Linked DNA regions of Caenorhabditis elegans. The protein of the gene in region 2 interacts with the protein of the main gene of each other region in a pairwise test. Each region holds a gene or a part of one and is shown on either strand. Other genes may lie near its edges. The genes, in order: cku-80 and cku-70.

Evidence for each region.
Region 1: the proteins of cku-70 (region 2) and cku-80 interact in a two-hybrid assay, tested with the Caenorhabditis elegans proteins (3 studies listed by BioGRID).

What each region holds. Positions count from the first base shown.
Region 1 is NC_003281.10:4,411,444-4,427,687, reverse strand, and holds cku-80 (ATP-dependent DNA helicase II subunit 2), read right to left. Parts: upstream 7,841-16,244; 5' UTR 7,833-7,840; coding exon 7,692-7,832; intron 7,645-7,691; coding exon 7,449-7,644; intron 7,400-7,448; coding exon 7,222-7,399; intron 7,176-7,221; coding exon 7,092-7,175; intron 6,770-7,091; coding exon 6,697-6,769; intron 6,647-6,696; coding exon 6,412-6,646; intron 6,367-6,411; coding exon 6,236-6,366; intron 5,791-6,235; coding exon 5,475-5,790; intron 5,423-5,474; coding exon 5,362-5,422; intron 5,317-5,361; coding exon 5,231-5,316; intron 5,178-5,230; coding exon 4,759-5,177; intron 4,707-4,758; coding exon 4,574-4,706; intron 4,521-4,573; coding exon 4,432-4,520; 3' UTR 4,313-4,431; downstream 1-4,312. Other genes in the region: C28A5.6 (Protein kinase domain-containing protein), read left to right, coding at 1-13, 857-967, 1,015-1,143, 1,195-1,289, 1,335-1,403, 1,454-1,615, 2,016-2,130, 2,175-2,265 and 4 more; R07E5.7 (vacuolar ATPase assembly integral membrane protein VMA21), read left to right, coding at 8,522-8,627, 8,674-8,988, 9,035-9,189; R07E5.19 (Vacuolar ATPase assembly integral membrane protein VMA21 homolog), read left to right, coding at 9,636-9,801, 9,876-10,018; pdcd-2 (MYND-type domain-containing protein), read left to right, coding at 10,027-10,045, 10,249-10,400, 10,659-10,978, 11,371-11,665, 11,716-12,090; R07E5.11 (Intraflagellar transport protein 46 homolog), read left to right, coding at 12,462-12,584, 12,630-12,848; mpc-1 (putative mitochondrial pyruvate carrier 1), read right to left, coding at 13,052-13,177, 13,226-13,372, 14,091-14,231; gpch-1 (G patch domain-containing protein 1 homolog), read right to left, coding at 15,574-16,244.
Region 2 is NC_003281.10:11,147,000-11,161,997, reverse strand, and holds the start of cku-70 (Ku domain-containing protein), read right to left. Parts: upstream 7,172-14,998; coding exon 6,950-7,171; intron 6,897-6,949; coding exon 6,794-6,896; intron 5,390-6,793; coding exon of another isoform or gene 4,799-5,389; intron 3,783-4,798; coding exon 3,598-3,782; intron 2,807-3,597; coding exon 2,672-2,806; intron 1-2,671. Other genes in the region: Y47D3A.31 (BAR domain-containing protein), read left to right, coding at 4,799-5,389; pola-1 (DNA polymerase), read right to left, coding at 8,054-8,202, 9,210-9,409, 10,042-10,190, 12,335-12,424, 12,479-12,663, 13,714-14,057.

The DNA.
Region 1 (16,244 bases), 6.7 Mb from region 2:
ATTGTTGAAAGAGGTATTTGTTTTCTCTCGGTATCACTAAAAATACTGAAAATGTCATTCTTTCATTCCTTATCTTATACTATATCTTTTACCTTATCTTATACTACCCAGACGCTGAATTTTGCGATTTTTTAACCGATAATACAGTACCCCGGTATCGACACGATCTTATTTTGATTAAGGAAATGGGTTTGCGCCTTTAAAGATTACTGTAGTCCCCTTTTTTCGTCACCTTGAAAGTTATTTTTTAACTGAATTAAAATATAAAATACACGAATTTCTGAGAAAACGTCAGAAAAAATTCCACAAAAAACGAAAGGTTGATAACTACAGTACTCCATAAAGGCGCGCACACTCTTCTGTGTTCATTAAAATCGTTTCGAGACCGCATTCGAATTTTTCTCATATGTTTTCTTTATATTTTCATTGAGAATTATTATTTGAAAAACGAAGAAAACTTTCAAAATTCAATTTAAAAAAGCTACCGTATCATCTTAAAGGCGCACGCTCATTTTCTTCACTCTAATTCAAAAGATTTTCAAGTCTACTTTGAAATATTTCAAGTATTTTCGAACTCCTTTTCCAATTTTGAATAACTCTAAACATTTTAAGAGTTCTTGCAAGAGCTCCACCCTTAATGGTATGCAAAACATAGAGGATGACAAAACCCGCAAGACGTCTGCCGCCTCTTGTGTCCCCCCTATATAAACACCTCCTATTGCGAGATGTCTCGTTCTTCCGAGAACATATACTAAAATTGGAACAATACAGAGAAGATTAGCATGGCCCCTGCGCAAGGATGACACGCAAATTCGTGAAGCGTTCCAAATTTTTTGTGAAATTTTTCGTGTTTCAGAAATTGAAGACTTTCCAACTTCCTATGCCGCGTTTTCTGAAAAATACCAAATACGAAATGATGGAAGAACTGGATCCTGATGGTCCCATAAGTGAAGCTTTAGGCAATAATGTTTGTTCTAGAAGTAGTTTTTCAAAGTTTTCATCAACTATTTTCAGCCTGAAAGCAACTCATCGACATCCAATCAATTTTGGCTCGTTCAAAATATCAAATCGGGTTGTATGTGCTCTGCAAAGCTTGTCAGCCGAAAGAATCCAGAACATTTGCAATTGCAAAAGAATTTAGATGTAATTTCATTTATAGTATCACAGAAAGTAACTAGATAACTTTGTTTCCAGAAAGAACGCAAGATTCTCTATGATTTGCTCCCAGAGCTCTCGAATCCATCGCATATTGCCCGTCTTGTTGATATTGGATATGATGACGATTTTAAGTAAAAAAAAATTAATATCTCTGGTCCCTTCAGTTTGGTTTTCAGATTCCTAATTTTCGAGGATTTTGGAATGGATTTGCTGACGCTTTTTGATGAGTTTGGAGCTGTTTTGAAGTGAGTTTCACTGGATATCAATATTCGAATGTTTAAATAAAAACTTTCAGCCCTACCACAATGTTTCTTATCAGTTATTTCACTTTCAATGCAATTAAAGAACTTCATTCATTCGATATTGTTCATTTGGATATTCGACCATCTTCATTCAGTGTCAATCAGCATCCATTCAATATTAAGATCACTGATTATTCAAGATGCATGACGAGAAAGTAGGTTTTTGCCAGACGGACACGCCTTATGCTTGCGTGTGTGCCTAACTCATGTTTCACTCATACCTGCCTCATGCTACGTTGCCTACCTATGTGCCTATTGAAAGCTTACCTTCTTAGTTCTTGCCTGCGTATCTACCTCGCACCTGCCCGCCTGCGTACCTACATCGTCCCTACGTGCCTACTTAATACTTACTTTCATTCTCACCTAAGCGCCTACGTACGTGCCTATCTTTTACCTACCGATGATGTGCCAACTGTCTACCTACATGTCTGCCTGTCTATGGGTTACTGTATTTCACACACATTTTTGATAATATTTAGTTTGTGGTGAGAGCTGTTACTGTACTTTTACGCAATGTGAAGTCGTGGCGAGACCCAAACTCTCTGCTTTTTATAGACCAGAAATGAAAGTTCCTGACGATGCTCGACCCGATTCGTTTTCTCCGAGAGTTTTCCACCAAAAAGATGCACAATTTGATGAATTTGTGGACTTTGAGGCATGGGTTTACACGGTAGGAAATCATTATGAATCCAGATTACAACGAAAATTTTGTAGATGCTATTTCTGTGCACTGCCGAGAAGCTTCCATGGTTCGGAGATGCAGAGAATATGTTCAAACTGAAAGAAGTATTTTTCAATGATCCATGTGAGAGCTAATGTTTGACAATCTGCCAATAATTGTTTATTTTTCAGTGAATTATCTCTATGATGGTTGTGCTGATTTTGTTCCACTGGTTGCTTGTTTCATAGCCAATAAAAAGTTGACCTATGAAACTTTCATGGAGAAAATGAGTAAGTGTCAGCTTAGTATTTTTTTTATTATTTAATGTTTTTATTTCAGATCTGATATTTTCGGTGGATGTTATGCAATATTCTGACAAAGAACAACCAAGACTTTACACAATGAAAGAACTCGAAGAAGTCAAGAAAACTAGAAGAGCTCCAGATTTCTACACGAATAATGCGATTGATCTAGTAGAAGGTCATTGGCATGCAGCTGATGAATCGGATCACGATAATTTGAAGGCATCGGATGAGGAGAATGAACAGAAAAGTGCAGCAGCAAGAAAATCAAAGAGTGAGAAGAAGAAGGATTCTTGTGAGAGGTCAAGCGCTGAAACATCTTCTTGCACCGAACAGACCTCTTCGCCAATGTCAGAAGCTAGTTCATCTGATGGGAGAAAGAAACCGAAGAAGGCTGGGAAATCAGCTGAGAGAAAGGAAAAATCCGCAGAAAGGAATCCGTCGAGTGAAAAGGATGATGATGGTGCAACGGAGGCGATGATTGGTGTCGAAAGACGTTCAACTCCTTCCGATGTTGTCAAGAATAAAAAAGGTCGAGCGAAAGGTGATCCGGAGAAACAGAAGCAGGATAGAAAGGAGAACAAAACTGAAGAAGAGAAGAGTGTAAGTATTATGGATCCATCTCGAGACGTAAATAGAGAATGCCGCAGTTTGAAAGCAAAGTGCGTGCAATTGCGCTCCACGACAATATGAAACTATTTATTGGCGGCAAATCCGGAAATTCAAATTTTTAGTAGAAAATTTTAATTTACGTTTTTGACGCCAATACCTAACGATATATAAATTCCGGTGAGCAGAGTTTTCATTGGAGCGCAATCGTACCAACTTTGATTTCAAAACTATAGTTTCTGCGTCGCGATAATATAAACGAGTCTTTGAAAATTTATAATTTTCAGAAATTATCTGAACCACCGAAGCCGAAGCCGGGAAGAGGAAAAAAGGTCAGCCGCGGACTGATCACCCGCGAGTTTTTGTTGGGAATGAGACATGATTTTACTGGTACACAGTCGGCAATGACAGGCTCATATGATTCTACGTCTGCCACATCGTTATCCACGTGGACTTCGTCTACGTGTGCAACTGATGAAGGAGAAGAGAAGAGGAAGTTCAAATGGAGTCTGAAGTCTGAAGAGGATTCTGAAGTTGAGTTTTTCGAAGACTTGGATCAAGAGGAAAGAGAACATTTTAGAAACTATGAGAATCTAGTTGCTCTTTCTGTTAAAGGTATTTTTTATTATTATTGTAATTGTTGGTCATACTCTTGTTATAGATGAAGTGGCCCTCTCGTCTGGATCTGAAGTCGAACCACTCTCTGATATTGATTCTGAGGAGAATCTGGCAATTATTAAAAGACTTGAGAAACGAGAGATGGAAATCGGTTGGGAAGTGTCAAGTGAGCGGGAGAAGACAACCGGCGATAGAAGCCCAGATGATCAACTCGATAAACTGGAAGCATACGAGAAGAAGTGAAAAAAGGAGAAAGATTAAAACTTCCATCGGAACTTGATCTATTACTTGAAATTGAAGATTTGAATAAACTGAACTTGTTTCTTAAATTTGTGAATACCTGAGTCGTCATTTTAGTGGCACAAACTCCGTCAAAGATAGTAGGCAGGCACATTGGCTAGATGTAGGCGATAAACTAGGCATTGAAACCTGTGGGAGGTGCATAGGTATACCTATAGGCATGCATTATGCACACAAGTCGGTAGACATTAAGATCGATGTTTGAGTACTTCTCTGTTATTGTTACCAGTCTGCCTACCGATACACTTGGGTACATCACATTTTCGCCTACCTACGAGCCTACATCTTGCTTTTCCCTACTTTTTCCTCTCACTGTACGTACTAAATAAAAAAAATGCTGACTTTCACATTAAAAAGCGTTCTTTGGGTGATCACCATGATACGGTAGTATGATTTTATTTTCATTTCAGTTCATTCACAGCTTTAAAATGATTGTAGTTAGTTATTTGAGATACATTGCCATAAAATAAAATAAAAATGCTCAATCTTCTTCCCAGAATTCGGCAGCATTGGCGACGGAGACTTCTGACATGCTGACTTCGGAAGAATCAATTGGATTGCATGATTTTTCTGAAATTTGTTGAATGAGGAATGGCAGAAAAGTGGACATGAAATGGTAGTACCTTCAGAAAGAACTTCAGCAAATGGTTCAAAGTCTTCTTCGTCTTTCAACTTCTTGAGAAGTTCATTGAACTCGTCACATTTTGAGTTTTCAACGAAAACTGAGCGAATAACATTCAATTCATTGACGAGAAGCTGTAAATTTAAAATTTAAAGTTTTATTTTGAAAATCTATTTTTGAAAATACCGTAAAGAACTCAGTAACTGCTCCATTTGGTTGAAATTTGCAAGTATTTGAAATCATTTCAAGAATTTTCGAGCAAACACGACTAGCTCCGCCATCTTCCATGATATCCATTTGAACTTCTTCTTTTCTCGTCAATTTCTTTGCATTTGGTTTTTTCTTTTTCTTTTGACTTGCACCATCATCTACCTCATCTGGTTGTGTCATATTCTGTTTTTTCTCCGTCCATTCGGATATCATTGTCTGCAGATCTTCAGGCTCTACCGTAACCCGTTCTCGTTTGGTTTTCTGAATTGGTTGCAGATTGAATTCGCGGCCAAGCTTCTGGAAAATCTCCGGATGTTCTGCTTCGACTCTGCGTTTCGGTGCCATTATTTGATCGAGAATTTGATTGGTTCGATTGGAATGATTTTCGAAGGTATCTGAAATGACAATAATATTATTTCATTTAAACCGAATTCACAAGAATATGTACCGTTTGGATGTAGAACTAAACTTTTGAGAAAATGGCATTGCATCTGCAATTTTGGATCACTCATTCCACCTTCGACCAGTGAAGAGCTGAAAACAATTTTTTATTGGACAATATTTTTCTGAAATTCAAACATTTCATCTTCTTGTAATTGCATACAATCGATAAGGTCATCTACAGCGGAGAGTTGAGCTACTGAAATTTAATTAGTTTTTTGTTAAATTCAAAAGTCTGAATGAATATATACCAGTAGGCTTATTCAAATCTTCATCTTCCTCGTCAAATGAGAATTTCGGGAATTTCAATGTTCTCATATCATCGGAAAATGGTAATTTCACTGATCTTAGATAGAAAACGCCAGTTTCTTCATCTTGATGTGGTAGAAGAGCAATGAGTTGCACATGAGATTTTGCATGGAATGTGTATCGACAAATGGCAGCGACTCGAAGTGAAAGCATTGCTTCGATGAGGGATACGGTAGCTTTGGTGGCACCTGATTTTGGTGAATTGAGAGCAGGAAGTACTGTTTTCGCGCTGGCATCGAGGAGATATGAGTCGAGAATCTAGAAATAATTATTACAATTATGAGATGCGAAATTTTGCGATTTATGAATGGCTATCTTTCTTTTGTTGTGATTTTGAACCAAAAAGTAAAAAAAACGTTATTTTTTTTTCAAAAATGCTAATTTTAGAAGAGAGGTAAGACACCGATTTTTTCGGAGAAATTTGTTTTTGGTCGGAATTATTATTGTGACAACTGGATCTGAAATGAGATTTTTTTGGTAAAATTTCGTGATTAGTTTTTCGGTTTTTTTCTCAAAAAAATGACCATGATTTGTCTATTTTAAAATACAAATTTCAAAATATCGTGTTATAACTGTGAAAAATCGATGAAATTTCAACGGAAACGAAATTTTGAAATTACAGTACTCTTTAAAGGCGCACACCCTTTTTTCGTCGCCTCTAATTTAACATTCTCCGTCGTTGCGAGACCATGTCATATCTTACATTTGCTCTTTTCGTGAACTGTATCAGTTTTAGCACTCCACCAGTCTGTCCCTCGTTGAAATTATGATCATTGTATTTTTCTTTAAGATATTCTGGGTCCATCATGATAACCGATTTTCCGAAATTGTAGCCTGACGCATTAATAATAGATTTTAAAAAATTTAGAATTTCACTACCATGCATAGTTTTTATATTTTCAACGGGTTTAAAGTTTTTCTGAAATTTCGGTTTCTCTTCCAGAACCGGCGATTTGAATTCATCTTTCGGAGCAACTTCGTCAGTTTCCACGTGCATTTGTTCCAATCGAACCATTTCATTTCCTTCGGAATCTGCATTTTTGAACTTGAGTAGTGCTGTAGATTTTTCAGATTTTAGAGCAAAAATCACCGGGAGATGGATTCCAGGAGCAATCTGAACGTTATTTTTATTGTATTAGATTAGATTTCTTCAAAAACTCTTACATCCCACATTTTATTGTATTTTCTCTCGGATTTCTGACGAGCCTGGAAGGTGGAGAGCATCTTTGCGACGTTTCTGGAAATTGTAATTATGATGATATTACTCCAGGCGCGAAATGTTATAGTATTTGCGCCGAAAATACGGTAGCCGGTCTTGACACGACAATTATTGTTAGATACAAACAAGCGTGTTCCTTTAAAGGGTACTGTTATTTTAAATTTTCGTTGTTGTGGAATTTTTAAAGATTTCTCAAATAATATTTATGTGTTTTTAAAAACCATTATTTCAGTTTTTTTTAACGAAAAATTATGGAAAATCGATGAACATTTCGCAAAAAGCGTGTCTAGATTCCGTATTTTTGGCGCAAAAATCGCCAATTTTATTTTTAAAAACTCACTGAAAAGTATATGTTCTTCCTTCTAATGTTTCTGCCAATTCTGCAACTCGAGAAGCAGGATATTCTGGATTTTCATCGATTCCACTGGAATAAGTATTTTTTTTTCAACGCTAAAATGGAAAAATCTTACATTATCATCAAATCTGCATTACTTTCACTAACGGCTTCAACTAAAAGATCGAAATTTTCTTGTCGAATGTTCTCGTTTAATCCATTTGTCAGTACAATCAACGTGATTCCTGATGGATTCGGATACGATTCGATTTGATCTTTTAGCACTGCGACGGCTCCCAGAACACCTTTGAAAACTGAAAAAAATAAATAGGATTTTTGAATTTGTCTTGGATATTCTCTCACAATTTGGATCTATCATTTCTGTATTTTGCTGCAATTCCTTTGTGATAAACTTTAAATGATCAAAGCTGGCTGGTGTAAACTTTTCATTTTGACACTGGACTCCATTAAATGTTTGACCGCCAACTTCTGTTTTGTATTCTTTCGGATCCAAATTGTAGGCCATCACTGAGAAGAGCTCGGGATCTTTGGAAAATAGCTGAAAACAATTTTTTCTTTGAAAGTTTTCTCGAATTTTAGTATCACTTTTCTCGAAACAATCCAATCTGCAGCATTGATCGCATTTTCAAATGCACTTTTTCCAGTTTCAGTGTCTTTCACAGACATATTGGATCCTGCGTCGATAAGGATTACGGTAATCCCGGGAGATACCTTTTTAGGCGGCATTCCTGTAACTTAATTTAAATTGGTGATGTTGAGAAGTTCATATGGAAATATTGCGAAACATGTGAATAAATAATGCGTGCGTTTTTCAAGACTGGCGCGGGTTTTGTACGCAAACACCAACTTTTTGCTGCAGCGAAAAATGAATTTTAAAACATTAAAATTAGAATATTAAAAGAAGATCATTTTAGATACTGCTGGAATATAGCTTTTATCGTTTTTTTTTTCAAATAAAATAAACCAAAACTGATTTTTAAACATTAAAAACCGCTCCCACAAATTCACGAACGTTCGTTCGAACCTCGCGCCGATTATTTTGCGCGTCGAATCTGGTGCACGCGGACAGTTCACCGTCACGCAAAAGTGCACACTCTCAGAGATTGATCACATTTTTCGGTCATTCGTTGTTTTTCGTGAAAATCAAAGTTTAAAAGGGATGTTTCGGGAATTTTTTGTTTGATTTTAAACATAAATTAAACGGTTCTTTCCGAAGTTGAAAGTTCTTCGGTTTTCCGATAACTTCCTCCTTTTCTTGCTTATTTTCAGTGTTGTGTTTGTGTTAAACGTTTTCCTCGTTGCCCGATTTGGTCTTTCGTAATTCTATTTTCTCTGTCAATAACTGACGTTAAATTACACGCTCTATATTTTCATGCGCTCTTCTGGTTCCTCGGTTGTATTTAAATCTTTCCAGAATGAGCGATACTCCAGAACAGGAGCAAGACTTCGAGCTGATCGACGGAGCTGAACGAAAATCCAGCACTTCAGATAGTTTTGAAGCTGTTGATGAAAAGAAAAATGGTATTTTACAAATATATGTTTTTTGTTTAGTGAATTAATAGTTTAGGTAGTCAATCTGTCAGTGAAAACGAGGATGACAATGCTGACAAATCGGCGAAAGAGGAAGATGATGAAGTTGAAGAGGAGATGAAGCTTCCATTCGTTGATCAGTCAATTAAAGACGACGCAAATCGGCCGAAAGAGAAAGACGGTGAGGACCTAGTAGAAGAGGCACTGAAAGCACCGATTCGACCCGATCAAGAACAATTCTACACAGCAGAGCATTCGAATAGAGCTATAACTCTGCTCATCGCATTTTCTGCAATGATGTTCACACTTCCACTGCTTGTTATGGCAAGCTTGTATTATTGGGTATTCATCGGTAAGTGGACTTTTCCAGAATCAATTTTATAGATAATTTGTTTCAGACCACTTCCATTTACCACCAGCAGAAGCCATGCTTTATGCCGGAGTATGTGCTGCCTTGGTCGTAATTCTCATTGCTGCCGCTTTCTGTTATATTGCATGGAAAGAAGAGAAAGACGCCGAAGACAAACTCAGAGCAGAGAAAAAGAAAGAATAGCGTGGCTGTGTATTATCTTCTTCAAAAATTCCTCCTGAACATTCACTTCCCGTTTGGACCTCGTTTACTTATTTGTGATCACTTCGACCCGTTCTATTTATATTAGTGCCTCTGGCTAGATGCTTTTGTACATAACGAATAAATTTTTTTTGTTATATTTTTTCCTTACTAATTGAATTTTTCTCTCTGAAGCGTAGTTTTCGCTTTACTATATTTTAATTTGAAATTGTCAAATTTTGTATCTCTTGATTTCCTTTACTTTTGGCGCCGCTGGATTCAACTCGGGATATCCGGGATTTTTTTTAATTAAAAAAAAACAAATTTTCGGTAAGATTCTCCCAGAAACCTTGGTATGAACCTATTCTCCCCTTAATAATCTTATTTTTTATTCCAATAATAATTATTTGATTTTAAACCCATGGATATACCGAGTTGTTTGCAGCGAAATGACCACTTCCTCTTCATCCGAACCATCAACAATGGCAACTCTGTTCCCGAACTTTCGTGATCAGGAAGTCCAATCCGCTGTCAAGAACCTTCTCACGTATAGTCTTGTGATTCTCATCGTTCCTCTTGCTTCTATGTTCCTCTTGAAACAATTCTTTTTCGAAGGTACAGAGCTTGTTCTACCGATTATTTTTAATTTTTGAAAAATGAATAAAATTCCATTTTCTCTCCTATTTCAGGGCTCCTGGGTGTCAGTGCAAACGACGCTTTGACCTATTCTGCGATCATTGCTGTCGTCCTCGTCCACGTGGTTTTGGGTATCTGGCTCTTCGCTGCTACCAAACAAGAAGATCGCAAGAAGCGTGAAAACAAGCAAGACTAGAAGACACAATGCAAACCGACATTCATGGTTCTCGGCAATTTTTTCTGTTTCACTTTCCCCAATCAATAATGCCTTATTTCTTGTATATTGATCAATCGAAATATTTAAATTTAAATTCTTTGACAAATTTCTTCAAGTCGGACTTAACCAATAAATTTAAGAAAATACACACTAAGTCTCCTGCCCGTTCTCTTTATCTTGTTTGCAGCATGAAAATAGCTCGTTTTCAGATGAACCAGTAAACTTGGGATTCGGAGTTCAATTCGAGCCAGATGATCTGTATCGTCTACGTTCGCAATTTCTTCCACTCGGAAAAATAGGAGGAAAACCGTCATGGTTGAATCCAAAAAATCTTCCAAAATCCGCAGATTTGTTGTGCAACGTAGGTTTTTTATAACAGAACTTTGAAACTGACCTAATTTTAGCTAAATCTTCAATTTTGCCAACTTTTCCGTATTGCAGCGTTCAGAAATTAATTTTATTTGATCATTGTTTTATTTTACTACAAAAATATGGAAAATAAAACAGCAATACGGAAATATTTGCAAAATTAAAAATTTTAGCTGAAATTATAATTTTTTCAAAATTAGCAACAAAAAACTTCCTACAACCGTCCACCAAATAATTTCCCAAATTTAAGGTCTGCGAGAAACCACTGTGTTTCCTGATGCAAGTATCAGCAAATGGAGGTATAAATGATCCTCCACACGCTTTTCATCGTTCTCTATTTCTCTTCGTTTGCCGTAATCCATCCTGCTCTCGTACAAATGATGCCGCAAATCTGAAAGCCTTCCGATGCCAACTTCCACGTGCCAATGATTATTATTCATTTGATGGACCAATGGATCCTGATTTGGATGGAGATGTTGCTGATCCACGTGCACCGGCTGATGGACCCGGATTGTGTCGAATCTGTGGATGTTCCGCTGCGAAAAAATGTGCCAAGTGCCAAGTGGCGAGGTGAGAGAAGTTACCCATACGAAAAATGTTGCGTCCAGAATAAAAAATTCTCCGTTAAATGCAAAAAGGCGTGTGCCTACTCTAATTAGTACTCTAATTAGGCTTATAATTCCAAAATTTTCTTGCTGCGGAATTTTTATTGACTTTTAATATTTCTTCTCTCGAATATAATTATTTTGTTAAAGTTTAAAAAAATTAATACAAATATCTTCGGAAAACTTTGGAAAATCTATGAAAATTCAGCAAATTTATAATTACAGTACCCCTTAAAGGCGCTCACATTTTTGTGCATTTAACAAAAATTTGTCGTATCGAGACCAGTTACAGTATTTCTGGCCGGAAAGACGAAATTCTGGTAAATTTTGTTCACACCTTATATGTCACAATTTCAGATATTGCTCTCAAGCTCATCAAGTCATCGACTGGCCTGCTCACAAGCTCGAATGTGCTAAAGCGGCAACAGATGGCTCCATAACGGATGAACCGAAAAATCCAAGAAATGCGTTTTGTTTCAAAGAATTCGGTGTAGAAATTGATCAGGAATATATGCCAGCAAATCTGTTTGACGGACTTAGTGATGATGAAGGCGATGAGGAAGAGGAAGAAGGAAATGATGAGGATGAGACTGAAGAGGAGAAGAAAGCAAGAATCAGAGAATTTGAGAAATTTGTCAAGGAGAACAAAGGGGTTAGTTTGACGCCGGAAAAAACAATTAAATTTCTCAATTCCTTTTTCAGAAAAACGCTGACATGACAAAGGAAGATTTGGATGAAGCCACCGCCGAGCAACCAAAAGATATCGATTTTGATAAATTCAACCGTCTTGTCAATTTGCAACCCGATCAGATTATTAGATACAAGAGATACGGACAGCCACTCCGTGCAACTGGCCTTTCTGAATTGCCAGAAGTTGTGGAACCATGTGAACTTTGTGGAGCTCCTCGTCGTTTCGAAATGCAGCTTATGCCACATCTCTTGTCGCTCATCGATGTAGATGCTATTGGTCAATCTATCGACTGGGCTTCCGTGTACGTGTACACTTGCTCCGCGAGTTGCCAGATCGCTGATGATGGTTATGCGAAGGAATTTGTCGCCAAGCAAGATTTCCTTTAATTTTTTTCCTCGTTATTTCTCTTGTTCGCAATTTGTTGTTTTTCTTGTTTGTGTTGTTCTAATAAATTTTGCATTTTTTTAAATGTTTATTATTAAAAAGATTGGTGAGAAACGCCGGTTATGTATCTGAAAATTGTAATTTTTCAAAAATGGAATCAGCTTAAATGAATTATTTTTTGCAGTATTTCGATAACTAAACTCGATAAAATGAAAGAAAATAGAATTTGATTTGAAAATCACGAAATTTCGCCGCACGGTTAGATTTTTAACTATTTTTCATCAATTTTTCAATTTTCCTCGATTTTATCGAGTTTACTTATGAAAATCTTCAAACAAGACTTGAAGAAATTCGTATTTTACAGCTTATTTCAATGGAAAAAGATGCTCAAGCAGGTGAACCAGAAGAAGAAGAAGTCGATGATGAGCTGTCAAGTACAGACTTGTACGAAGATTCTATGGCTGAAGTGACATTGAATGAGACACGCGGAGGACATGTTAGTTGGAATCGTCCACTGTACTCGCATAAAAAAATGTTTTAGGACTCTGATCCATTCGATCGAAGTGGTGAATATGATGAAGACGTCGATCTTGCCGCACCTCCTCCAATCACTCCGGATATTCCAGAAATCCCTGCAGATGTGCTGATTTCGCTGAAAAATCGTGCAGAAGGAACTGCCATCGATCTCAAAAATCTCAAAAATCCATTTGACGATTCTCAAAAAGTGGATGAATCCGAAGTTGAAGCTCCATTAAAATAATGATTCTCCCTGTGAATGTTGACATCTAGTCGAGTCGCTAGTTACGGTTTTCTTCGAACACCTATTTTTGCTTTACATTTTCAGTTCATATCATAAATTTATTTTTATTTAACTTATTCTTTCTAAAATTCCCTAGAAATTCGAAAAAAGGATACCATAAAAAGAGCGAAACCCGCTAAAAATTATATATTTAATCAAATTGCTCAATGTGCCTTGCTGATCACTTCCGCATCGTGTTCGTGCTCCAAAACCTCCTTTTTCATCATCAATTTATGGTGGACGGGATCTTCAACGTAGTGCAGATAGTTGTGGTTCACAAATCGACCGAGCTGAAAAAATTAAAAATTATCAACTGGAGCTGCTGTTATGGAGTATACCTGAGCTCCTTGAGCACTGAAGTTGGCAAAATGGCAAGCGAAGAGCAAAAGATTTCGTGGTTGAACGTGCCACGCGAATCTCATGAAAACACTCGAGTAGATCAGAAGAGCTGACGTCATTGGTCCACTGATCATGTCAGGATTTTTCTGCAAAAAAAATTATAGAAAATTTCACAAAAAATTTGGAACGCTTCACGAATTTGCGTGTCATCCTTGCGCAGGGGCCATGCTAATCTTCTCTGTATTGTTCCAATTTTAGTATATGTTCTCGGAAGAACAAGACATCTCGCAATAGGAGGTGTTTATATAGGGGGGACACAAGAGGCGGCAGACATCTCGTGAGTTTGACAGAGTAGTATAAAGAGTGTGTGTGAGAGGGTGTAGGCATTTCATAACATATTTTTTGTGGAATAATTTTGGAAAAAAGGTGTTTTTTTAATAATAGCTTTTATAAGAGTTTCTCAAAAATTGCATGCTTTTTTTGAAAAGGTTGACAAATTATAGTAGTACTAAAGTTGCTATTTTCAGGTCTCAGCAGAAAATTCACAACTAAAAATAAAATTTGCAAAACAGAGTGTGCGCCTTTAAGGTGTACAGTTTTTTATTCCTTTATTGCTAGTTTTTTTTGTTAAATTTTTGGGAAAATATATTTTATTTCATGTGAAAAAAATTGATTAACCTGCAAAATTTAGAAAAGCAAGAAAACATAATTACGACTACTGTTCTTTTTAAAGGCACACACATTTTCAGCACTTATTAAAAAAACCAAATCTGGCTATGGATTAAAAGCGCTTTTCAATTTTTAAACACCCAATACAAAAGTAACGTTTTTTCACCCTAACTTGTCTCTAAAAAATGCAGTTACCTTCAAATCTCCAAGAGCAGCCAACGGAAGTCCCCAGTTAGCCACTGGTCCCCAAAAATGAGTTGACAAGAAGTAATGCTTCCATTCGGCGGTGGAATGTTGCTTGAAATATGTCGTCACTTTTGATATAACTCGAGACATCTGGAAATATGAATTTTTAGGTTTTAAGCTTTTTAAAAATATGTTCGAAAATGTTCATTTCGCTGAAATCGCGTGAGAAATCAAGAAAAAACGTCCGATATATATTTGGGTTTGATAAGGAACAAAAAGTGATAAGCAATCAAATCAGTATTTTTGTTCAATGATGATAAAATAAGGAAAACCCTCTGTAGAGAATTAGAGAAAAATGGATGAGAGAACGAAAATAAATAATTGTTTTTGTCAGTGGCTAAAAGATGATATTGATCTTTTTGGTTCCATTAGAAGGTTTAATTTTGATTTTTCAGAAATTGTCTTTAGGTTTTAAATTCAAAAAAAAATTGAAGCATGGCCGTTAAATTATGAGACTTTTGCTCCAAAAATACTATACCGGGTCTCGACACGACTAATTTCTGTTGAATGAATCGGCTTTTCATAGCTTTTCGATAAAAATATGTTTTCAAATTAAAAATTGAGGTAAAACAATAAAAACAGAAAAATTCGAAGAAATAATGAGATCTCATTATTTGTTGGATTTGAGAAAACAATGAAACATTTTTTAAAACTCAAAAAACAAAAGTTTGAGAATACAGTACTCTTTAAAGGCGCACACCTAATCCCACTCAACAAAATCTTCGTGGCAAGACAACGTGTCGATTTACGAAGCTCGTGTACTCCTCGAGGAAAACTGTGTGCATTAATTTATCGCGGATAGCTTTGTTTTTAGCCAATAAACTTGATTTTTAACCATTTTCGCTAATTGTTTTATGTATAAAACATTAATTTACCAATTTATCCCACATTTATAGTATTTCATGTAAAAAACCAATGCGTTTACTGCTGAAAACTACAAAAAAACTAGAAATTGTAGTTTTTCAGCATTAAAATTTGTTGGGTTTTTTTTCTAATTAATTTTTCTAATTTTTCAAATTAAAAAAGGTTTTTCAAATGCAATTCAAAAAATGTTTCTAAAGGTGCCGGTTAATATTTGCAGACTGAAAAAATGGAAAACAAATTGTACTAATTTTTAACAGAGAAAGCATCTGAAAAACTAAAATCTTTGAAAAATTGAAATTGAAAACTCATTTCTGCTCGAAAAATGTGACCTCAGTGCACGAGTTCGCAGGAACCAAACCTCACAATCCTTGAGAGAATAGAAAGCGAGAGAAATAGAGAACGAGAGATGCAGACAATTTAACTGGGGACAAATAGCCACACGGGAGGAGAAGGATAGTTCAGACATCACTTTGAGAAATTTTATGTTTCATTTTTACAAGTCGAAACCATAGTAATATATGATAATAAATAAATAAATAAAAAAAATTAACAAAATGTTTAATTCAGATTATTTCTTCTCCTCCCATCCATCGGAATTATCACCGGAATCGTCGGCACTAGACGAAGAATGTTTCCTCTTTGTCTTCTTTTCTTTCTTGCTCTTTTTTGATTTTTTCGATTTCTTCTTCTTTTCCTTCTCCTTCTTATCCTTTTTCTTTTTCTTCATATTCTTTTCTAAAAGTTTCAGTACTTCCGTTTTTGAAAGAACTGGTTTTGAAGATGGAGGAAGAGCTGGACCAAATGAAGATGCAGAAGTTTCATCAATAATCTGAATATCATCATCTTCCTGTTGCTTTGAAACTCTCAGCAAATCCCTATTTTCTAATTCTTTTAATTCTTTTTCCACTCGTTTTCTGTTCTCCTCCTCTTTCTTCTCAACTATTTCCCTTCTTCTTTTCAAATCCTCTTCTCTTTTTTTCAGAATCTCTTGCCGTTCCTTCTCTTCAGCTTCTTCATCTTCACTATTACTCTCATCTGAGTCTGCACCGTCTCCATCTCCAAAAATGAAATCAAAAAACGATTTTGGAGCTTTGTCTACCTTCTGATTGTTAGGCTCGGCTTCATTTTCCTCTTCTTCATCAGAATCCTTATCATCATATTCTTTCTCATCGTCATCATCTGATTGATTTCTTTTTTTCTCTTCTGCTCCTCTCTGAGCTCTCGATTTCAGAAGTCGCT
Region 2 (14,998 bases):
TTTTTAAATTTTTAAATTTTTTTTTTTTGTTTTTTTTTTTTAATTTTTTTTTTTTTAACCAGCCGTTCGCACGCGCTGAAGCGCGTGCTCCGACTGGCGTACTCAAAATTAAAATCAAATTCTGAAATTTCTAAGCATTTCACTGCAGATGGAACGTTTTTTTCCTTGTTTTCCGGAAGTTTTCGAGCAACATAAATATTATAAATTTAAAAAATATATATATTATAAAACTATATATTATAAAAACTATAATAAAAATATATATTATAAAACTAATATATATATTATAAAACAAAAAATATTATAAAACTTAATTTTAAGCAATTACAATTTTAAAACCTCAAGTTTCCTGGAACTTTTATGAGACTTTTTCCGGTCCTTTCCGAAAGTTTTTGGCGAGCGTTTTTGGAAATTATCTATAACAATTTCTGGTTTTTTTTAATTCTTAAAACTTCAGAATATTCTAGGAGTATCAAAACTTGAAAGGTTCTAGAACTTCGCAGAAGTTTCTTGAATTTTTTCAGGGAATTGAACATTCCAGACTTTGCTCGAATTTTCTAGAAAATTCTGGAACATTCGAGAATTTTCCCGATTTTTCTAGAAAGTTCTGGAACATTACAGACTTTTCTCGAATTTTCTAGAAACTTCTGGAACATTCCAGAATTTTTTTTCAGAAATTTTGAATTCCCGCCAAAATTTTTCACAGAAATTTTGAATTCCCGCCAAAATTTTTCACAGAAAACTTGAATTCCCGTTATAATTTTTCACAGAAAATTTGTATTCCCGCCAAAATTTTTCACAGAAAATTTGAATTCCCGCCAAAATTTTTCACAGAAATTTTGAATTCCCGCCAAAATTTTTCACAGAAATTTTGAATTCCCGCCAAAATTTTTCACAGAAATTTTGAATTCCCGCCAAAATTTTTCACAGAAATTTTGAATTCCCGCCAAAATTTTTCACAGAAATTTTGAATTCCCGTTATAATTTTTCACAGAAAACTTGAATTCCCGTTATAATTTTTCACAGAAAATTTGTATTTCCCACCAAAAAGTTTTTCTCAGTAAATTTGAATTTCCCGCCAAAAATTTTTATCAGAAAATTTGAATTTCCCGCCAAAACTTATGGGTCTCGCCAAGATGGGTCTCACCACGAAGGGTCTCACCACGAAGGGTCTCACCACGAATTTTCTCGAATTTTCCAGAAGGTTCTGGAACATTCCAGAATTTTCTCGAATTTTCCAGAAGGTTCTGGAACATTCCAGCATTTTCTCAAATTTTCCAGAAGGTTCTGGAACATTCCAGCATTTTCTCAAATTTTCCAGAAGGTTCTGGAACATTCCAGCATTTTCTCAAATTTTCCAGAAGGTTCTGGAACATTCCAGAATTTTCTCGAATTTTCCAGAAGGTTCTGGAGCATTCCGGAATTTTCTCAAAGTTTCCAATATCCGTTCAATAGACGAAAAGTCAATTTTTCCCAAACTACAGTAATCCTACAGTACTCCTACAGTACCTCTACAGAACAACTACAGTACCCCAACCATATCCCGACACTAACCCCAAAGCAATATCTCTTCAAAAGACGAAAAGCCAATTTTTTTCAAAAATACAGTAATCCTACAGTACTCCTACAGTACTACTACAGTACTACTACAGTACCCCGACCATATCCCACCACTAACCTCAAACCAATATCACTTCAAAAGACAAAAAGTCAATTTTTCCAAAACTACAGTAATCCTACAGTAACCCTACAGTACCCCTACAGTACTACTACAGTATCCCGACCATATCCCACCACTAACCCCAACCCACAATCCCTTCAACAGCCGGAAACACCTTGCAAGTGTGACGTCACAGACTACAAACTACAATTGTAACATCCCTCATGTATTTTTTTATATATAAGTAATGATAATTTTTTTTTAATTTTAATTTTAAACAATTTATTTTTGAAAAGTTCCAAAAAAAAAAAAAACTTTTTTTGCGTAAAATTCTCTACAATCTCAAAAAAAAATTTGTTCATCAAAAATTTTCCGACACAATTTTTTCCGATTTACGATTTTTTTGCCATAAAAATTAATTTAAAAAATTTAAAAAATCTTTCACTATTTTTTTTCTAGAATTGTATCACATTTTTAGGATGTAAAAAAAAATTAAATTGAACTTTAAAAAAATTTTTCTCGAAAAATTCGTTTTTATCGAGAAAAAAAAGTGTTTTTTTTTTTGCGAAATTCGAATCATTTTTTTAAATTTTTTTAAAAAAGTATCAATTTTCAGAGGAATCGTAAAAGCGATAATTATTTAAAAATTCGGAAATCCGTTAAATCTCCGTTTTTTTTTAAATTTTTTCCCGGGGTTTCGGATGAAAAAAAAACCTTTTTAATTAAAACAAAAAAATATATTTTAAAACCCTTTTTATTCGAAAAACCGGGGAAAAAATAATTTTGGTTTAGTTTTAACATCTGTTTTATTCAAAAATCGATTTTTAAAATTTATTTTTGAAGACTTTTCCTCAAAAAATTAATTTTTTAATAGAAAAAAGGAAAAAAAAATAAACCAAAAAATTATGATTTTCACGCTTTAAAAAAGCTAGATTTTTCGAAAAGAAAACACTTTTTTTTTCGGAAAAATTTAAAAATTTATCGATTTATTTTTCCTGCACAGTAGAGTACCCATGGCTCCTTCCGTTTCTCGTCCTTATCCTGTGGCTTATATCCATCCTCTGGCAACATAATAACCGAAAATTCACCGAGCGTCTTTCGATGTCCCTCACCGATAATTTTGGTGACCGCGGCTTTGGTGCGTTTCTGAAGAAAAAAAAATAATTTTGCTTAAAATTGAAAATTTAGCGCTTAAAATTTACTCGAAAATCGTAAAATTCACGAAAAATTGAATTTATTTACAAAATATAGAAATTAGTGTTTTATTCAAAAAAAAATTCCGAAATCTTTTGAGCACTTTTTTTCAATTTTTCCAACTGAAATGCAATCTTTCTTAGATATTATAGGAGCCCAAAATTCTGAGAATGCGTACTGTGCAACATATTTGACGCGCAAAACATAACTATATCTCGTAGCGAAAACTACAGTAATTCTTTAAATGACTACTGTAGTGATTGTGTGTCGATTTACGGAAAACATTTATTAATCGATAATAACATATTAAACAAAAACACACAAGTGACAAAAAAACGAAAATCTAAAGAAAATTGTCATTTTTGTGTTTTCTTTTAATATTTTATCGATTGATAAATGATTTCCGTAAATCGACACAAGCGATACAGTAGTCACTTAAAGAATTACTGTAGTTTTCGCTACGAGATATAGCTACATTTTGCGCGTCAAATCTGTTGCACAGTACGCATTCTCAGAATTTTGGGCTCCTATAATATCTAAGAAAGATTGCATTTCAGTTGGAAAAATTGGAAAAGTGCTCAATAGTTTTCCGAATTTTTTTTGACTACAACACTAATTTATATATTTTGTCAGTAAATTTAATTTTCCATGGATATTATGATTTTTTAAAGTTTCTTTTTTTGTATTTTTTAACGATATTTTATGTGTTTTTTCCACGAAAACCCGCCAAAAAATCCACTAACAAAATGCGAAGATTCCAAAAAATCGTCACGTTCAAATGGATTCCGATTGTTTGTCAAATAAATGACCGATTGATGACGTGTATTCGAACAACTTGCAAACACTCGTTTACAGTAGTTAAGCACATTTGACAAGTCGGATTTGTGATGATCACCGCCGTAATTGTTCACTGCCGAGAGGAGGTTTTCTGGAACAAAAAATTATTTATTTTCTTTTCGGAAAACTTCTGAAAATTGAAATTTCACTTCAAATCGGGACCGCCAACCAATTAGCAATGTTGGTCACGCCCACCTCGGATCGCTTATTGGTCGGAAAGCCTTCACTGAGAATCGCATATGTCTAGTGACTTTGCAAATATATCAAATTTCCGGTAAAACCAAAATAACGTCGGTTGCATAAACTTGCCGAAAATTTCGAAATCTACTGCAGGCGTGGGCGGCAAACGATTTCTTTCCGGCAATTCGGCAACTTGCCGGAATTAAAAACTTCCGGCAAACCGGCAAATGGGCGGAATTAAAAATTCCGATAAATCGGCAAATTTCCGGAATTGAAAACTGCCGGCAAACCGGCAAATTGCCGGAATTGAACATTTCCGGCAAATTGCCGGAGTAGAAAATTTCCGGCAAATCGGCAAATTGCCGGAACTGAAAGTTTCGGCAAACCGGCAAATTGCCGAAATGGAATCTACAGCCAAATCGGAAAATTGTCGGAATTGAAAACTTCCGGCAAATCGGCAAATTGGCGGAATTGAAAATTTTTGGCAAACCAGCGAATTGCCGGAATAGAAAATTTCCGGCAAATCGGAAAATTTACGGAAAACCAGCAAATTGCCAGAATTAAAAACTTCCGGCAAACCGGCAAATGGGCGGAATTGAACATTTCCGGCAAATTGCCGGAGTAGAAAATTTCCGGCAAATCGGCAAATTGGCGGAAATGAAAATTTCCGGCATATCGACAAAACCGGCAAATTGCCGGAATTGCAAATTTCCGATAAACCGGCAAATCGCCGGAATTGAAACTTTTCTAACTTTTTCAAACTTGAACAAAACTCAAATATCAAATTTTTTTCCGTGAAAATCCCAAAATTCCACGTTGGAAATTTCAAAATTCCAACAGCAAAAAAAAAAAACGCCGCGGACAAAATTCAAAATTCAATTTATTCCTAAATTTCGACTCGGTGGTGTGTGCGTGAGTTGTTCAACAATGTTCAGTCGACTAAAGCAAAAAGTGAAAGAAAAGACGGGCAGAAGCAAGGCGACAGTGCTTCCCGCCGAAATCGACGAGGCGTTGATCTACTTCAAATCTCTGAAGCCCCGCGTCCAGGATCTCTACAAGCACATGGCAAATCTGAACGACGTGGCAAATTGGCAAGTGAAAGCCAACTTTTCAGGCCCACTGGAGAACTATGCTCTGCTCGGAGATCGTATCAACGTGCAACCGTTCATCAATTGTGTCGACACGCGGATGGAGGCAGAAGTCGAGTCGATGGATAAGGTGCTGGCGATTTGTGAGCGGTACAAGGCGTTCACACAGAACGAGAGTAAGCTTCACACAAATACAATTGCCAATTTGAATAAGACACGTCTCGATATGGATAGTGCTGCGAACAAGTACGCCAGCAACGACACTGACGTCAATCGGACTCGGTTTGATGATGCCACTCGTGAGTTTGAGGTGGCTTGTGATCGGATGCGTGAGTTGGCGATAAGTATTCAGACAATTGAGGAGACTCATTCCATGTGGCAAGATGAATTGATGCGGGAGATAAAGGCCGGAATGAGGAAACCGAATTGAGGTGGTGGTGGTGGTGGTGATGGATGAGAAATTGAAAATTGAAGAGATCTCACAAAAAAACCTTTTTTTTTTTTGAAAATAAATTAGGTTATTATGAAATATTGTTTTGCCAATTTTCTAGGCGGCGTGGCCTACACGATTTCAGGCCGCTCTTTATGAAAAGCTAAGTTCTGGCGTCGAAAATTGCCAATTTCTTGAAAAAAAAATACCGGAAATTGTTTTGTCGAAAGCAGTGGTGGACGGCAATTGCCGTTTGGCAAATTCGGCAAATTGTCGGAAATGCCGGTTTGCCGGAAACTTTAATTTCCGACAATGTGCCGGTTTGCCGAATTGTTGCCGGAAATTTTTTATTCCGGCAAGTTGCAGATTTACCGGAAACTAAATTCCGACAATTTGCCGATTTACCGAATTACCGTATATTTTCATTTATGGGAACTTGCCGGTTTGCCGTTTTGACGAGAACTTTCATTTCTGGCAATTTGCCGGTTTGCCGAATTGACGGAAATTTTCATTTCTGGCAACTTGCCGGTTTGCAGTTTTGCCGTAAATTTTCAATTCTGGCAATTTGCCGGTTTGCCGTGACGGAAATTTTCGTTTCCGGCAACTTGCCGGTTTGCCGAATTGCCGCAAATTTTAATTTCTAGCAACTTGCCGATTTGCCGGAAAATTTCATTTTCAGCAATTTGCCGGAAATTTTGATTTCTAGCAAGTTGCCGGTTTGCCGAATTGACGGATATTTTCATTTCTGGCAACTTGCCGGATTGCCGAGTTGACGGAAACTTTAATTTCCGACAATTTTCCGGTTTGCCGGAAATTTTCAATTCCGGCATTTTGCCGATTTGCCGGAAACTTTAATTTCCAACAATTTGCCGGTTTGCCGAATTGCCGGAAAATTTAATTTCCAGCAAGTTGCCGAATTGCCAAAAATGAAAGTTTCCGGCAACTTGCCGGTTTGCCGGAAACTTTCAATTCCGGCAATTTGGCAATTTGCCGTAAATTTTCAATCAATTCTGGCAATTTGCCAGAAACTTTTAATTCTGGCAATTTGCCAGAAATTGTCATGTCCGGCAATTTGGCAATTTGCCAGAAATTTTCAATTCCGACAATTTGTCTATTTGCCGGAAAAAAATCGTTCGAATTTTCAAAAAAGTGGTGATCTACCGAAATTCTGCCAAAAGTCAAAAGAACAATCAATTTTTTGCCAAAAAATTGCCAGATTGCGTATAATATTCTGAAATTGTAGATTTTACTCGAAATTTAACTGGAAATTGCCAATTTGTCGAGATTTTGAAAAATTAGAAGTTTGCCTAATTCACTGCGAAAATTGTGCCAAGTCGCCAAAAGACGACGAATGCCGAGAAAAAAAACCACGAAAATGTCAGAAATTGTCCGCGATTTCCGCACCTTCCTCCGCAATTTCCTTAATCTTATTCACTTCTTCCTGTCCAAGAACACCCATCGGCACAAGCAGAGTGCTATTTTCGAGTCCCTCGGTCTCCGAGTTTTTCTGTAATTAAAAAATTATTAAATTTTCAGAAATTCTTCAGAAAAAACTCGTACAGTACTAGTGACAATCACTCCGATATGATTGTTAAGGCTCCGCGAGCAGCAAACACGGACTATTTCGTCGAGAATGAGCTTCAGAGCAAGCTTGAACTCTGGCGGCTCACCGGCTTTCGACGTTTCGAACATTGCCGGATTTCCGTCAATTATGAAGAATGTGTACTTTTTATTGGCCGTTGAACCCTCGAAATCGTCATCCTCGAAGCGGGTTTCGTCCATCTGGAAAAAAATTGATTTTTTTCAAACTTTTCTCGAAAAAAAATTCAAATTTTGACTGAAAAAATCGAAAAATTAATTTTTTTTGAATTTAAAAATATTTATTAAAATATTTTTGTTCTCAAAAACTTTGAAATTTGACATTTTTCAAGTTTTGAAAATTTCGAAAGTTTTTTTTTTCAAATTTTTCGAGAAAAAAATATCATATTTTGTCGATTTACGGAGCTCGTGACTGAAAAATTAAAAAAAAAAAACTTCTCCTCGAGGAGTACACCAGCTGCGTAAATAGACACACGGTTTTTATGCATGTGTCGATTTACGACGGATTTTGAACTACACGTGGACAAGTTTGAGTTCAATTTTTTTGCAAAATCTCGACTTTTTTTTTGGCTAAAATTTCAGTTTCCGAAACATTATCCCTCGTAAATCGACAACCCCTGTGTCGATTTACGCAGCAGCCTTCGTGTACTCCTCGAGGAGAAGTGTTATTTTTTGCTCAAAAATTTTAATTTTACAATAAAATAAATTACTTTGCATAGAAAATTTGAAAATAGCGAAAATGTTCAAATTCTCCCCGTAAGTCGACACAAATACTATAATAAATTGAAATAATTTTTTCAGAGATGGAAAAACTCCAAAAATTCAGTGAAAAAAGGGAGAATTAACACAGGATTCGATTGTTTATCAGATATGATTTGAGTATTTTCGGGAATATTTTTTTGGGGAAAAATAAAGAATTTTTCACTGAAAATTAGGAGAAAATGGAAAAATGGAGGAGGAGGAAATGACTTGTGAAAAAAATTAGGAAATTAGAAATTTCGACATAAAAAAGACGGGAAAATCGCAAAACTGGGGGGAAATTTTCAAAAAAAAAAGAAAATAAATTCATTGAATTTTCATCATTGGCGCAAAAATATATGAAAGATCCACTCGATTATAGGCATTTTTCTCCAAATATTTCTCATTGATTCGATCAGCCAACATCATTGAATCGATTTTGCACCCATTATATTCGACACGGACTTTGGCGGCTTCTGGAAAAAAAAAACTTTTTTGAAGAAAAAATTGTACAAAATTTCCTGGAAATCGAACTTTTAATGCTAATTTTTAGTGAAAAATTGTAATTTTCAACGAAAAAAAAAACTCAGAAATCGGAGAAAAAATTTACTGAAAAAAAATTACGGATTTAAAATTATTTGAGCCAAGCTTTTCAAAGAATACGGTACCGGGTCTCGATACGACAAATTGTTGTTGAATGCGAAAAAGTGTGCGCCTTTAAAGAGTACTGTAGTTTCAAACGGATTTTTTTAATCGATTTTGCGCATAGAATTTCACACGATTTGTTAAAACTTAAGCGGTTTATTTCAGTTTTTTTGTTTAACGAAAAACTGAAAAAAATGGATGAAAATTTCTCAAATTTCATCCAATTTTTTTCAGTTTTTCGTTAAAAAATATGCTTTTTATTAGAAAAACTGAAATAAACCGCTTAAATTTTAACAAATCGTGTGAAAATCTATGCGCAAAATCGATAAAAAATTCCGTTTGAAACTACAGTACTCTTTAAAGGCGCACACCTTTTCGCATTCAACAACAATTTGTCGTGTCGAGACCCGGGCGCAAAAATCGTGAAATTTCGGGATTGAGTAATAAAATTATAAAAGCCGAATAATTTTATCTCCGTAATTTTTTTTTTGAAAAAAAAAAATGCTGAATAGCTGCTGAAATAGAAAATAAAATTTTTTAAGTAAACTTTTTCTCCGAACTCTGCGTTTTTTTTTTTGAAATTACAATTATTCACCAAAAGTTTACATTAAAAGTCCGATTTCCAAAAAAAAAATTGAAAGAAAATCACATTTTTTAAATCGAATTTTGAATGATTTTAACGCAAAAATAGTTAAAAATGTTCTCCTAATTCGGTTTGTTTCCATTATTTTCGAGATTTTCCGCTAATTCTCACGATTCTTGGCTGAATTTCGCCGAAATTTCCCATTTTCTAGGGATTTTTCCCATTTTTTTCCAATAAAATTTCGCAAACACGAACTTTTCTGGGCGTCGCTCAACTTTCGTACAGCCGCGTCGACATCGAGAATTGTTCGAAAGAACATTTGCTGATCGAAAAGCTGTTTTGAAGTGTATTCACGACGGAGCACACCAGTTGAGCATCGAATACATTCGAGTCCTTCTCGACACCATTTCATCGTTTGTACGCGAGTTTTGAATTCACACGTTGGCTCATCGCATCTGCAACAAAAATTACGATTTTTTGAAAAAATTCGGAATTTTTTTTTAAATTTTGCCTCTAAAAAAAAGAAATTTTATGGGGATTTGAAAAAAAAAATTGTTTAATATTTTTCAGTGTGCGGTTTTTTGTGTTTCGATTTTCAAAAAATTCGGAAATTTTTGCCATTTTTCCTATTTTTACAAGAATATTAAGTGTGCGCCAATAGCCGTTGGGCAAATTGCCGGAAATCTTTAATTCCGACAATTTGCCGATTTGCAGGGAACTTTCCAATTCCGGCAATTTGCTGGTTTGCCGGAAATTTATAATTCCGGCAATTTGACAACTTGCCGAAAATTTTCAATTCCGGCAATTTTCCAATTTGCCAGAAATTTTGAACTCCGTCAATTGGCCAATTTGCCGGAAATCTTTAATTCCGGCAATTTGCCGATTTGCAAGGAACTTTCGAGTTCCGGCAAATTGGCAAATTCTCGGAATTGAAAATTTGCCAATTTGCCAGAAATGTATAATTCCGGCAATTCGCCGATTTTCCGGAAATTTCAATGTTGGCAATTAGTCTTCAATTCTCCTGATTTTAAGCAGGTTTTTTTTCCAAATTTTCAGAAAATCGGCAAATTTCCATCAAAAATCGTACTTAAACGCTGCGAGATGATGTCTGGCGACGAATTCCGACATTTGTCGGTCAACTTGATTCCCAATCACTGCTTGATGCTCCTGAAGATCCCATGATCCTTGACATTGAGCACATCCGGAGAATAGAAGGCGGGGAGACGAGGCATCAGTCTGAAATTAAACGAAAAAGTTGAGAATTATTTTTACCAACAACCACTGAACCACCGAAGACGAGGGTTTTTCTGCAGTAAAAAGTTGTTGCCACATTTTTGGACTTCTCAATTACTTGATTTCACCGTTAACCATATGAAATATGGGCTAATCCATTGGATTTAATGCACTTTTTTCAGATGCAAATTTCACCCCCTAACACTGCAACTTTTTCCTCACGAGGGACGAGGAAAAGTGGTTTCTAGGCCATGGCCGAGGGGCCGACAAGTTTCAGCGGCCATTTATCTTGCTTTGTTTTCCGCCTGTTTTCTTTCGTTTATCATCGCTTTTTTTTTCGTTTTTTCTTAATAAAACTGATAAATAAATATTTTTTGCAGAGGCTAAAACAATTTCCAAGTAAAAAATCATCTATTCAGTGGGCAAGCAGCGGTGAAAGTGGTCAATGCAATATGATGGATTACGGGAATACAAAACCTAAACTTTTTCTGAAACATGATACATATGCTGCTTAAATGCTGAGACTACCTGATTTTCATAACGAGATCGCTGAAAAAGTTTTGAGGTTTCCAAAATTCAACTTTTTTGGTGAAAAAGTCGAGATTTTCGCACAAAAAGTTGAATTTTGAAAACCTCAAAACTTTTTCAGCAGTCTCGTTATGAAAATCAGGTAGTCTCAGCATCTAAGCAGCATATGTATCATGTTTCAGAAAAAGTTTAGGTTTTGTATTCCCGTAATCCATCATATTGCATTGACCACTTTCACCGCTGCTTGCCCACTGAATACATAATTTTTTTACTTGGAAATTGTTTTAGCATCTGCAAAAAGTATTTATTTATCAGTTTTAATAAGAAAAAACGAAAAAAATCGATGAAAAACGAAAGAAAACAGGCGGAAAACAAAGCAAGATAAATGGCCGCTGAAACTTGTCGGCCCCTCGGCCATGGCCTAGAAACCACTTTTCCTCGTCCCTCGTGAGGAAAAAGTTGCAGTGCCTAAAAGTGAAAACGGGCAGAAATTTATTTTAGAATCGGGTAGAGAAATATTTTAGCTATTGGATTCTATTTTTTTCATATTTTTCATGCATCTTGTGGACTGGCCATTCCCTAGTTAGAAAACCACGGTTATCTCAAGGGAGTAGGAGACTTGGGCATACTTTATAGAAACAGTTCGGAAAAACGGAAATTTTCGCCAAATTGTGGTTTTGCACATTTTTTTCATTAGAAAAATCAGAATTCCAATCCTAATCGCCAAAATTGTATGCATCCTATGAATATTCCTCCTACATCTATTTTGAAAATTGAGAAAATTCTATGAACATATCTAAAGAAAACGGGAAAAAACATTTCAAAAATACACCGTTTAAGGGTTTCCGTTTAAAAAAAAAATCCCTCTAAAAACTTCCGGCTAATCGGTAAATTGGCAAAAATGAAAATTTCCGGCAAACCGGCAATTGCCTCCCACCCCTGATACGGGCATACTTTATAGAAACAGTATTCGTATCAGGGGTGGGAGGCAATTGCCGGTTTGCCGGAAATTTTCATTTTTGCCAATTTACCGATTAGCCGGAAGTTTTTAGAGGGATTTTTTTTTTAAACGGAAACCCTTAAACGGTGTATTTTTGAAATGTTTTTTCCCGTTTTCTTTAGATATGTTCATAGAATTTTCTCAATTTTCAAAATAGATGTAGGAGGAATATTCATAGGATGCATACAATTTTGCCGATTAAAATTGAAATTCTGAAAATTCCAAAAAAATAAATTTTTTTTTTAAATGTGCAAAACCGTAATTTGCCGAAATTGTTCGGCAAATTTGGCAAATCGGCAAATTGCTGGTTTGCAGATTTGCCGGAAAAAATCGTTCGCAAATTTTGTATGTGTTGCTGAGAAAAAAACTATAAGAAAAATACCATTTTCTTCTAAAAAGTGTAATTTTTCGAAAAAAATGAAAAATTTAATTTTGAAAAAAATCGAAAATATCCAATCCTAGCTTTTCCAAGGATTTTTAAAAGAAAATCTCCAAATTTTCAATAAAATTGAGGAAAAAAAAGTTTCTTCTCGGAAAGAACCCCAAAATTTCGCCATATTTTAGTTGCGAAATTGCCATGCCAACAATGTCCAGTTCCTCTGCGTCTCTTCTCTCTTACCACACAATCAAATGTCTCTCGAATCACATTTGAATGACCGCACCCATCGAGTGGACAAATCACATGAATTCCTTCGCACAAATCATAATTCTGAAATTAATTTTTTGAAATTTCAATTTCTGGCGCTGCTCCGAGCGAGCCCACCTCTTGGTGCCACGCGCAATCTTCTTCTGCTGCTCGCTGTGAAGCTTGAGCCGCCGCAGCTCGTCGATAATTGGTCGAATCCAGACCGAGATTTTCGGCAATTCGGACTGCGTCGGTTTCCTCGATGGGCTCGACGAGCCGCGATACGACTGGATGAATTTGTTGAGCCAGATAGTAGAGGAGATCTGCAAAAAAATTGAGTTTTCAGGCGAAATTTTGGGAATTTTGAGACCTAATTTCTTAAAAAATGAATAAAAATAAAATTTTTGTGGGTTTTCAGGGTTTTTACAATTTTTTAATGTTAGTTGCCAAAAGTTACCAAAATATAGGAAAATTCTTGCATTTTTGAGGGAAAATTACCAATTTTCAGCTCAAATTCCATCAGTTTTGTATAAAAAATGCAAAAATTTGAAAAAGTTTGCCCCAAAAGTACGATATTTTGAGCTGAAAAATGCGAAAAACTGCATAGTTTTTGCCCAATACCCATCAATTTTGGGCTGAAATTACCCGATTTTGCATTTTTTTAAAAGTACAAAATCGATGAATTTTGAGCTGAAAATTGGGATTTTAGCACAAAAAAAAAACGAAAAATGTTCTCTAAATTTCATGATTTTTGTCCTTTGACCAAAACCTATTGCTTTTGAGCTAAAATTGTATATTATTCAGTCGCGAAATTTTTCGCCAAAAGTACACTACCGGGTCTCGACACGACAATTTCCTGTTAAACGTAAAAATGTGCGCGCCTTTGAAAAGAGTACTGTAATTTCAAATTTTTGATTCTGCGGAATTTTCAGTAATTTTTTACCAGGTTTTCTATTCAAAATTGGTATTTTCATCGTAGCACTATTAAAAAATCACTGCAAATTCCGCAGAATCAAAAAAATGAAATTACAGTACTTTTTTCAAAGGCGCGCACATTTTTACGTTTAACAGGAAATTGTCGTGTCGAGACCCGGTAGTGTACTTTTGGCGAAAAATTTCGCGACTGAATAATATACAATTTTAGCTCAAAAGCAATAGGTTTTGGTCAAAGGACAAAAATCATGAAATTTAGAGAACATTTTTTGTTTTTTTGTGCCAAAATCCCAATTTTTAGCTCAAAATTCATCGATCTTATACTAAAAAAAAATGCAAAATTGAGTAATTTCAGCCCAAAATTGATGGGTATTGGGCAAAAACTATGCAATTTTTCGCATTTTACAGTGGTAAAAATCCAAATTTTCAGCATTCCGTACCAATTTTAAGTGCCGAATTCTCAGCCATTTCAGTCCGATGATAGGCTCGTTGTGTTGCCGGATTATCAGTTCCATCTTCACAAATGACATATTCCACAATATCATTATGCCTCAAATTGAATTTTCCACTTTTATTAAGCCGCTGAGCAACTGCCGCATGGCATTGAGCCTTCACATCGGCATATTGTTCAGGATTTCGAGTTAGCTGCTTGCTAATTTGGAACATTTCCAGTGGAACCGTGCCAGAATCCAGTTTTGCACGAATTTCACGCAGTAGATCATCGATCGATGAGACCATCTCGTCGCGGGTCAGTGAAGCGTCAAGGATCTTGTCGACGACGGCTCTACAAAATTATGAAAAATTAATTTTTTGAATTTTCTAAACGTTTTTCATATTTTTAACTGTAAAAAATGCACAATTTGGAGAATTTTCTCGAGAAAAAAATGTCTAAAAATCAAAAAATTCTTCGAATTTGATGAAATTTGCTGAATTTTATCGAATTTTATTAATAGAATTGTTAAAAATTTTATAAATTTAAGCATTTTCTCGAGAAAATTTAATTTCTGGAGCAGGTAAATTGGGGAAAAATGGCTGAAATTTGCTGAATTTTATCGAATTTTTCAGGGATTTTTTTTCAAATTTTAAATTTTCAGGAATTTAATTTTTAATTTTTGAACTAGAAATTCGAAAACCAATCACTTTTTTACAGAGAAAATTACAAAATTCTGTCTATAAAATTTTTTTAATTTTAGTTCACCTGGAATTCGAATTTTTGTGCAAAATTGATATTAAAAACGCGAAAAACTCATTAATTTTAACAAAAATTGGTTATTTTTGAAATTTTTTCAAAAAAACATATGAATTTCGCAAATTTTCAGCTCTTTTCCCTCAATTAAAAAAAAATAGAAAAATTTTTAAAAAATTCAAATTTTCTAAATTGTTTAAAAATAAATTTTACATCCTTTTCTCATCAAAATCAACATATTTTTTGATAAATATATAGTTTTTTTTGGAAATTTTGGAATTTTTAAGGGAAAACCGAAAATTTCCGTTTTTTTCTATTGAAAAATTTAAAATTTGGAAATTTTCTCGATTTTTTTTTTTTTTTTCCGTAAATTTATCTTCAAAATATGGCAAAATTAGCAAAAAAAATCCAAATTTTCTCAATTTTTAAAAAATAAATTTTTAATTTTTTTCTCATCAAAATCACGGTATTTTTTGATAAATATATAGTTTTTTTTGGAAATTTTTATTCAATTGTTTCCAATTATTCGGAATTTTTAA